2 linked regions of the Drosophila melanogaster genome follow. The gene in region 1 interacts genetically with each later gene. Each region holds a gene or a part of one and is shown in the gene's direction. Other genes may lie near its edges.

Evidence for each region.
Region 2: of noc (region 1) and Elal, changing one enhances a phenotype caused by changing the other (phenotypic enhancement), as found in Drosophila melanogaster (one study listed by BioGRID).

The regions. Positions count from the first base shown.
Region 1 is NT_033779.5:14,488,841-14,494,561, forward strand, and holds noc (no ocelli), read left to right. Parts: upstream 1-2,018; 5' UTR 2,019-2,405; coding exon 2,406-2,495; intron 2,496-2,797; coding exon 2,798-4,321; 3' UTR 4,322-5,179; downstream 5,180-5,721. UniProt on the Drosophila melanogaster protein: May negatively regulate Notch-induced cell proliferation in the eye-head primordium. Required for development of the supraesophageal ganglion and ocelli.
Region 2 is NT_033777.3:24,863,218-24,868,152, forward strand, and holds Elal (Elastin-like), read left to right. Parts: upstream 1-2,132; 5' UTR 2,133-2,152; coding exon 2,153-2,627; intron 2,628-2,794; coding exon 2,795-3,309; 3' UTR 3,310-4,434; downstream 4,435-4,935. Other genes in the region: CG7016 (uncharacterized protein), read left to right, coding at 1-852; Srg1 (Sting-regulated gene 1), read right to left, coding at 1,061-1,489.

The DNA.
Region 1 (5,721 bases):
AATGCTGCAGGGTGAGCATTAGTCTGAAAGCAAATCGCTTTAGTCACGGTATCAAGGTGTTCCGCACTTCCGCTTGGCAATTTCTTCGGCTTCGTGTAATTTATAATATTTTTGTATTATTTATATGACACCCCCGGCCACTGGTTTGAATTTACCTTCAGCCCACTCCCGCAATTTGCTAGTAAATAATTCACATACAGGAGCAGCGAATTTATGACGCTGACAAAGTGGCCATAAAAAATAACAAATAATAAGAGAAAATGCTATGGAACGTGTGCGTAAACTCTCCAACTCTGCAGCAGTATACATGCATATATACACGTATATACATTATTTTGGCAACACTTTTTTCGCTTTGTTGCACGCAAAACCGCAAATTATGTCTAAGCCGTATCGTAAAGTATCGCAGCACGCTCTTAACTAATAAATCCATCATTTCGCCGAAGGCCGAGAGTGTTTCCTCTACCTGTTTTAGCCTCGAAGGTATTTCGCTGCCGGGTTTCGGCTTAGGGATTCCCACAGAAAAATGTCTAAACACTCTAAATCGGGATTAAAAGTGTCGCTTCTGGGTTTTCGGCTTATCGTCCATATTTATACAGATTTTAATTTACTTGCCAGGGGCTTTGAAGGGTTCTTAAAACTCAGCTTGGTGATTAGGTAACATATCCCAAGGGCCAGATATTCCAAAATCCCCTCGGGGCTTGAGTTAAACATCTTGATACATAGTTTATGGTTAGTCCAACCGATTTGGTTGGGATTACGTTGGAGTTTTAATATCGGTTAGGTAAAGTGGCTAGAATGATCTAGATCAACAAAATCTAAATGATTAGTCACATAATATTTTCTAACTACTTAAATAATAGTAATCAATTATGTTTAGAAGGAGCTAGCCTATTATTAGCTCTTAATAATTTAATATAAATCAGCCTCGTTTTGCAATTAAACATTATTAGTATTCAGTAATTATCTTGAAACCAAGCAACGTGATTAACGCGATTTCGTGCGAAACGTAAATAAGTAAGTTAGGCAAGTGCTAACTGGAAAATTCAATCCAATTGTAGAGCGATTAAAAATGCAGCGGAGTTAACCAAACCATTAAACTATTACCAACTCTCTGAGTGCAACATGCCACAACACACATTCGCTTGTTTGATATGTGCAGATTAATTACACACACACCAAGGAAGGAGGAAAAATTGCTTGGAAAAACTTTTCGACGCGACAACAAAACAACGATTTCCACTTAAACAGCAAAACAGGAGCCACGAAAAAAAAGAGGGAAAACCAACCGCAGAAGTTAATCGAAAAACGCTAAACAAAGGCCACAACAACAGCTGTGCGAGTGAGCGGGTCAGAGGGAGAGAGGTGAAGTGCCAGAGCGGGAGAGCGACAAACAAATTAATTTTTATATGACATTAAAACGAGCGAAGCGAGGCGATGGAAATGGTTGAAGAGTGTGTTTAAGTGTTGAGTGGTTTGCTTTTCCGAGCAACAAATCTCGGTGCGAAGACAATGAGGCCTCTGCCGCGCCGCTGCCGCCACCACTGCAGCGCTGCTGCTGCTGACAGCCCCATCAAGAAAAAGTTCCCCCAGAGAGACACAGAGAGGGAGAGTGAGCGTGACATATGTGCCAAGATAAAATTAATGTGCCCCCCAAAGCAGCCACAACAACAACAACTCACTGAGCGGCGCTCTCAGCGCTCAACTGTTGCTCTCTGGACGAGTGTTGCCGTGGTGCAGCCATATTATTATGATTTTACAGGAAGCCAAATCGGAGAGCGAGAGAGAGAAAACCTGTCTTGGCTTCCATTGCAAGGCGCATGCGATTGTGATTGGACAAAAAGTACGCCATATTTGAAAATTACGCACAGTGCATCTCGCTCGCATGCAGCAGGCGGTGCTCCTCTAACGCAGGCAGCAAGCCAAAGTGTGCAGCGCTGCTCGCCGGAGAGCGCTCTCTCGCGAGTGAGCGAACGCTTCGCTGCGAGGGCAGTTACGCTCGCTGCCGCAGTCGTTGAATTCAATTCGAATTTTGACTTCGCAGCGTTCAGACGTGTTCGGAAAAACCTGAAAACCATTCGAGTGACAAGAGATATAACCAACAAAAATAAGAAACCTCAGTCAACTGTGGTCACTGATCGAGAGTGTTTCGTTTCGAGTGAAAAAGTGAAATCAGAGCCAAAACACAAATCGCTTGGCCAGCAAATTGAAATAGTGCTACAGAGATAAATTCTCTGCTCAAAACTACAAGTGTGTTAAATCGCCGATTTTCTTTGGATTTACCAACGTTTGCCGACGCATTTCTGTGGATTAACCTCATCGTCGCCGAAGCAAAGCTACGCATTTGTAGCCTTGTCTCGCAACTCACGTGGATTACCCTCGAGAAAACACACTAAGCAACTGATATGGTTGTCTTGGAAGGAGGCGGCGGCGTTGTTACCATCGGTAACAACCAGTACCTTCAACCGGATTATCTGGCCCCATTGCCAACGACGGTTAGTATTGACTAAGTTAAAAGCTGTAAAATTTTGGGATGGCCGTAAAATCTATGGTTTTAAATTTTGCGTACTTAAGAATTAAATTTGGAAAGTTCATAACATCAAACAATTTTTCAAATCTAAAAATTTATATCGTCATTAATACTTTCACGAACAAACTTTCTTTGGAAGAAATTGCATTTTCTCATAGTTTTAACTTCTCACCAAATTAAAATCAATATTATCTTAAAACTCGTAAAAAACTTTAAAATTACAAAAAACCTAATTCCAACTCCACATTTTCATTTTATTCATAACAGATGGACGCCAAAAAGAGTCCCTTGGCTCTGCTCGCACAGACTTGCTCCCAAATTGGAGCGGATTCGTCGGCAGTGAAACCCCTGCTGGCAATGGACAAGAACAAGACAAAGCCCGGAGCATGCTCCTCGTCGTCGAACTCGTCGAGTTCCTCGGGCAGTGCTGAGATCTCGGCAGCCAAGTCACCCTCCGGCCAGGCCAAATCGCCCAAGTCGAGCACTCCAATCAGCTCGACGGCAACCAGCGCAAGTCTGAGTAATACCAGCACCGGTGAAATCAAACTGGCCTTCAAGCCCTACGAGACCAATGTGCTGAGCCACCAGAACCAGAACTCCTTCAAGAGCAGCTCTTCGCTGGATGCGGAACCCACGCGTCCCAGCTCTAAGAACTCCTCATCCGCCCAGGAGCGTGTGCCATCGCGCAGCAAATCAAATGCCACGCCCACAGATGGCGGCAAGGCGGAGATTTCCGCGCACGATTCCTCATCCAGCCGAAAGACTGTCTCCCCGTCGGGATCGTCGCAACGCGGCGCCAGTCCCATTGTGCGCTCCGGCATGGAGGTGCTGAACAATGCCAACGGAACCGCCCAGCATCCCAAGGAAATGAGCAGCATGGCTGCGGCGGCAGCAGCAGCAGCAGCGGCTTACAAGGCCGCCGGACCCTATGGGCTGAATCCCCTGTCCGCCCTGTGCTGCCCGCCCGGAATGGAGCAGCACGCCAATCCCGCTTTCCGGCCACCGTTTGCCGGAGGATTCTCACACCATCACGCCGCCATGTTGGCAGTTGCCGCCAATGGAGGATATCCAGGCGGAGCTCCCGGCGGTGGACCAGCCGGACAGCCCAATCCGTACATAAGTTATCAGCGCATCAAGACACCAGCTGGCGGCGAGGCTATAGTGCCAGTCTGCAAGGATCCGTATTGCCAGGGATGTCCCTACTCGGCGCACACGCAACAAATGCTCATGGGTGCCCCCTGCCCCGCCGGATGCACCCAGTGCGAGCATCAGAAATACGGCCTGGCCATGGCCAGTGCCGCCGGACTGCCACCAGCTCATCCATACTCGCAGGCAGCGGCCGCTGCTGCGGCAAACGCGGCGGCAGCCCGTTCGGCACCCTACGTGTGCAGTTGGGTGGTGGGCGATGCCTACTGCGGCAAGCGATTCCAGACCTCCGACGAGCTCTTCTCCCACCTGCGCACCCATACGGGCAATCTCTCCGATCCGGCGGCTGCTGCGGCGGCCTTGGCCCAATCGCAGGCTCAATCCCTGCTGGGAACCCTATTTCCGCCATCGGCTCTCCGAGCTGGCTATCCAACACCACCACTGAGTCCCATGTCAGCGGCTGCGGCAGCGGCGAGGTATCATCCATACGCCAAGCCACCACCAGGCGCCTTGGCTGGAGGACCTTCGCCCTTCGGCGCCGCTGGAGCATTCAATCCTGCCGCGGCGGCTGCGGCAGCTGCTCTGGGACCCTACTACTCGCCATACGCCATGTACGGCCAGAGGATGGGAGCGGCTCATCAGTAAAGTGACTTCCACAAGAGTTAAATACCAAAAAAAAGGGGATTACGTTGAAGAGACAACCAGAGATATAGAATGAAACCATTTCCAAACCCTGTTTGAGATACTTTCATGGAAAACAAAAAAGATAAAAGCACAAAACGATTGCAAAGGCTGACACATCTCTGGCTTTTGCGCTATTCTGTGATACTAAACTGTAGTTTAAAGAGCGCTAGTTACACTTAAGTTTCGCAAACAGAAAATAATCAACCACCTAAAGAACAGTAGTAGCCGCAAAAATAGCAGGATCACTCTCTTCTATCATCGTAAATGTCTACATTGTTAGGTAAAAAGAAGTGCAGCCAACACGAAGTTCACTCACTCTTATTTGTTCTCAAAGTTCAACCAAAGTTTTTTAAGTCTTAGCCAGAACACATTCTACAACTTCCAATTTTGTTAATGAAGAACCCATTGCTGAGATGTTCAAACATTGTTTTAGTTTAACTTCGCTTTAAGTTCTATTAACTATTATTACGATTATCTGCAAGCATACAACAAACCAACAATTGAAATAATGTTCTTTAAGTCAACTTATATTTAAAGTAAGTGTAATGAATATTTGTAATACCAACCAATCAGAGATAAAAAATTAAAAAAAAATAATAATAATTACGAAAAATAAAAATGAATATTTCATATAATTATGTACTGTGTGTAAATTCTATAAATATAAACTAGATTTGCTATTTACTCCTTGATGTACGCAAACCACAATACGATCTACACAAGAAGCCACGGAATATCAAACAAAAATAACTTAAACTACATGCAACACATTCGTATAAAACTGAGAAATATACAAGAAAAAACAATTTTTAGAAGCATAAACCACGAATCTTTTCTTTTGAAACAAACTCTTTTACAGCTGGAAAACTTTTTGTTGGGCCATAATTTCGCTTCGGTTATCTGCGCTGTTTGGCTAGCTCACATATGGGTCATAAATATTGCTGATAATGCTCCACTAGGTTTTCAATTATATTTACATAAGGCTGAGTGGCAAATTCCGGAAACCATAACAAGGTCTAATTCTCTTAATTTTATAGTTCTTACTTAGAAATGGGACTAAAGGAGTTTTTAATTCTGAGAATTGAACTGCTTCTTATAAGTATCATTGATATTAAATGTAAGGTTCTAGGCAAATAAATAAATAAAATCTTATAGGTTATTCTTTAAAAATATTTTAATTAGTTTTATTTTAGACAAAAGGTATTTTAATGTGCTCTCAATTTTTTCTGGATGCACTCGAAGAAATCTGGGTTTCCCCATCTCACCTAACACATTTGAAATTCAAATTAGTACTATTAATTTGCATTGCTTGTTGCATTTTAAGCGCACTCAATTTGTATGCAGCGATTCGTATTCAGCCT
Region 2 (4,935 bases), on another chromosome or scaffold:
GAGAGACTGCAGCAAGGAAGGCCGGGGATGGGTCCGAATCGAGGAGGAATGCACAGACCAGGATTTGCACCACCCAACCGTCAGCAACCGACGCCTCCTGGCTGGCCACCCGGCTGGCAGTGGGGAGCCGGTGGAAATCAGAATCAACCCGGATTTGACTGGGTTCAAACAGGATTTGCACCAGGCTGGAATGGAGGTGGAGGGCAAGGACCAGGATGGAATGGTCCAGGATGGAACGGAGGCGGTGGAAGAGGACCTCCACCAAGACCAGGTTTTAACGGCGGCGGACCACCGCCGCCAAGACCAGGATGGAACGGCGGCGGGCCACCACCACCGATGCCAGGCTGGAATGGAGGAGGGCCACCGCCACCAAGGCCAGGATGGAATGGCGGAGGACCTCCGCCACCAAGGCCAGGCTGGAATGGAGGGATGGAACAGGAATGGGATAACTATCCACGCCTCCCCGATCAGCCGGATCCCAATGATCCAAACACGAATTGGAATCCAGATAATGAGTCTAGCACCACTCCACAAACGCCAATACCAGGACCCATCTTTCCAACGACAACACCTAAGCCAGAGCCCACCTTTCCCACGATCCAGCCACGTCCAACCGCTCAGCCAACGAAGGATACGCTCATAATAGGAACCAATCGACCGCCGTTGGTGCCGCCCCATAATCCGGATCCACCCACGCCCACTTTTCCCACTTGGATCGTGCCGGAGCCATTGCCAAAACCATTGGACGAACTCTCCGAAAATCGTGCTATTATATTCCCCAGCTCTAGCAAATATATCCATGTGCCAAACCCGGAGGTTCCCTCAATTCCCATTGATGTGAGACGAAGATGAATCTTCTAAGAGGGAGTTCCCCGATTCACACTTGTTGTATATATATTCGTAGACCATTGTTCAATTGCTCCACCCGAGATCGTCTTTGTCATAAGTTCAAAACAGGTTCTAAAAGCTCGTTGGAAATAAACGAAATTTTAATAAATTACACATAAACAAATGAGACAGCACATGATTGGATGAGACTGGGGTATCTGACGGATGAACGTTAGTAACCCCGCTGCTTGTAACCACCTCCACCTCCGTAAAGATCCTGATTCTTGTGCGGATAATGGACACTGGCAGGATGAGACGGCTGAGAGTAGTATCCAGGCGAAGGACGCACTGACCAAGGTGGTGGATAGTAGTCATTTGCTGCCGGAACCGGTCGTGGTGGGTAATAGGCATAGCCACCTGGATGCGTCTGCTGGTGGCTACCACCGTAGCCGTAGCCTCCACCATAGTGATAGTCGTAGCCCTGCTCGTAGCCCTCCTGGATGAGTGGACCTGGTCCAGGATGTAGCTGTGGATCAACTGGCCTTGCTGGCGGATAATGATTTGGGTCGCCGAACAGAAGCTCCGCAATCTTATCGAAAGTGGGTCTACCGTGGGCCAAGCTGGCCAGGATTAGCACTAGAATCGCAGCCAACAACTGCATCTTGGGATATGTAGAGCAATTTTGCTGATAGTCCCAATGTCCATGCGGCTTTTATAGCCAGCAGCAGCACATGGCGATAAGAAAGATGAATGGAATCGAGTGGAAGAACCTTGGGTAATGGAACAAATGCTATATGTACATATGTACTTATAATACTAATCTATTGACTGGTAAACAAGGTTGACTGGGAAAGCTTTCGTTCTCTATATAAAGGGAGGATCATAACTCATGATCATCATCTATGCAAAGATGAGTTATGAATTGCTTGGGAAATCCCTAAACCAAAAATGCGTCTCAACTTATCTATTACTTGGCTTTAGGCCGCAAATTTATACATTGCAAGAAATTTATATATAACATTTATATTTATAAATTTGTATATGGGTATTTCTTTAAAAAATTCATTTATTTGTTCAAATTTATGGCTAGTATCTATGCATATGCACATTGTTGTGTTATATTTTCAACTTTTGCTTTCAGTGTAGACTCTCTCATTCAATTTACTAGAAAGAACACTCAATGAGACTTAAACTACATATCTGGGCATTGAGCCCCTGATGATAACCCCAAAAATAGACACTCAGCTAAGCTCTCGTGTCATCAGATCTCACCATGAAATACACGCGCCGTGAGCTTCTGGGCTTTAGTGTACCCAAAGACGCCATGTTAAGCAGGAGGGTCATCGCATTCGCCGCTCTGGCCCTCATCCAGATAGCCAGCGGTCAGGCCTCGCAATTCAGCAGGGACGAAAGTCAGGAGGATCAGAAGACGGAGTTTAACCTGGCCTCCACTCTGACGGGAGGCATTACCAGCAGTCGCCATCGCCAGCGGGCCAATCTCAATTCGCAACTTTATCCTGGCCTTGGTCAGCTGGGATCGGGTTATGCGGGCGCAACTGGATCCATCGACGATGCCCATGGCCATGAGCAGGGTGGCTCTGGCGTACGAGTGGCCAGTACGAACTCCGTTGTTTTTCCTGGCAACCAGTCACCAAATCCGGCACTCACAATTACAGGAGGTCACCAGATTCCCGCTTATCCGCCTCCGGGTTTTCCTGGACAACAGGCTCCAGTTCCGTACCCAGCTGCAGGAGGCTCTTCAGGAGGATCCTCATCATCCGGTGGTTACCAAAGTGCAGGTAGGTCCTTCTAATAGGTGGTTCATTTATCTTAGTGAAATCAGAAAACTAATATCAAGTCTTAACTCCCAAAAAAGTTATACAAAATTTAAAAGATTGGTGAATAGCAAATCCACATTTTGAAATATATATGAAATTATGATATTAATGAAATGTCCCCTTTTTAGGTGCTGTTTCTCCTCCTGGCTATCCTGTTGCTGGAGCAGTTCCTGCTCAGTATCCGGTGGGAGTTCCTCCCCAGCAGCCAGTGGGTGCAGGAGCACCTGGTTACTTCCCGGGAACTGGTGCCTATCCTGGCTATCCCTACCCCGGAGTATACTTGCCACAGTACCCAGCGTACCCTCAACCAGCCCAGTTCCCCGCCTATGGAGTGCTACCCGGAGCTGTGGCTCAACCAGGAGTTCCTGGAGTAGCTGGAGTTCCGGGAGCACCTGGAGTGGCAGGAGTGCCCGGAGCAGCTGGTCAGGCTCCTGCCACCAGCGGCATGAACTATCATCGCTATCCGGCTCACAATCCCGCTGATCCGAGCCATTGGGACCATCATTTCTCGATGAACACCGAGTACAAGGAGGATGGCGTCCACAAGGGACCATTTGGAGTGCTGAACAATCACAATGCCTTTGGCTATGGCAGTGGATATGGGGGCGGATACAACGGTGCCTTCAACTCGCCGGCCTACTGAAGCTGGCCGACATCATGGGTGGACCTCGGTGGTGGTGGTAGTGGTAATGGTGTTGGTGGGGCGTGAAGTAATCCGAGTCGTAGTCATAACTTCGCTGCTGCCTCCTTGGCCAGAGGCAGCTGTCTTTGCCTATCATCCTGTGTGTCCCTGCGAAATAAACTTGATTTCTGCACACCCAACCAAGATAATTAGCAATGCTGGCCAGTTACCAGTTGCACCTTGAACCGGAAAAAATAAAGCACATGCACTCGGCATTCTGCTCCCATACAGACAGCTAACCCAAGACATTCACATCCCATCCTTATTCTTTTCCTTATTCTTATGGCAATGCCGCTTCTTTTATCCGGCGTGGACACAATCGAAGACGACAGGAGCTACCTGGCTGGCAGGCAGCCGAAAAAAAGGGAACGCACAAAGGCAGGACTCTGGGCGAGCCAAAGGTGGTGGTAGAAAATCAGCGTCAGAGAGAGACGCTGTTACTGGTATTGGTACTCCTGGTGCCCTTCGCTGGACCCAACTGCAGCGACATAAATCGGCTGGGTTTCGCTGTGCAGCGGAAAAGAGAGGGCCGAAGGAAAGGAAAGGAACCCAACCAAGGGACGACGTCTTGATGTCTTGCGGCGCATGCGCAGCCTGCCGCGCAAATCCTTAACAAATTTTTGGCGCTAAAATGACGGACGAGCGCGCCAAAAGCAAGGAACCGCAGGAAACTCGAGAGAATCATGCCCGGGGTATACAGACTACGAGTATACAGACAGACACTTACACTCATGGATTATGAATGATTTGGACGGACGGTATCGGTGGTTTTTACCTGTAGCAAATCGAACCGATTCCAGCCAGGGTTTGATGTCCTTAGGTCATCAGCCATCAGCTGTTCTATGATGAGCGCGGAGAAAGGAGCACAGATTCAGCTGAGAGGATTCGAAACAAAGGAATTAGAATGGGTGGGGTAATGGGTATACTCACGGCAAAGAAGTCTAGATGTGCTAAACGTTTTCCCTTAACCTTTGACATCTAGGAGTTTATGCTCTGTTTCTAACAATTAAAGATTGAACTGCAACAAATACATACATTCCAGATTCTAGGAAATTGAAAATAATGCCCTAAATTATTTAATCCCCTAGGAACTAGGATCATTTCCAACATGCTGGATAAAGACAGCTAATTTAAAATACTTATTTAAAGTAAACATAAACACTAATGATACTACAATTGCATTCAACTAGTTATATCTGAGTTAATACTCACCCGATTTTGAAACTTCCATCAGGTTTTTAAAAGAGTTTTCTAGAAAGAAAAATAAAAATACGAATTTATTGCACTTACCCTATTAAAAGTAAGAATTTTTTCACTTCGCCCACCGTTTTCCGAATGTAATGATGGTAAAAAGATTGAAGTATTTTTGAACGGACGTAAAAATGTTTATTGGTATTCTCTCGCAAAACGATACATACATAACACTGAGTACATACATAACTAGTTACTTCAACAATGCAACGTTATCAACCATCCATGGATAAACGAGGTGAACTGAGGCAGGGCGGGGCGGGGCGGTATGATCAGGAACTGGGAAGTTGATGGTGAGCGTCCTTCGAGGGGCGGGAATGTGAGCGCAAGGAGGGG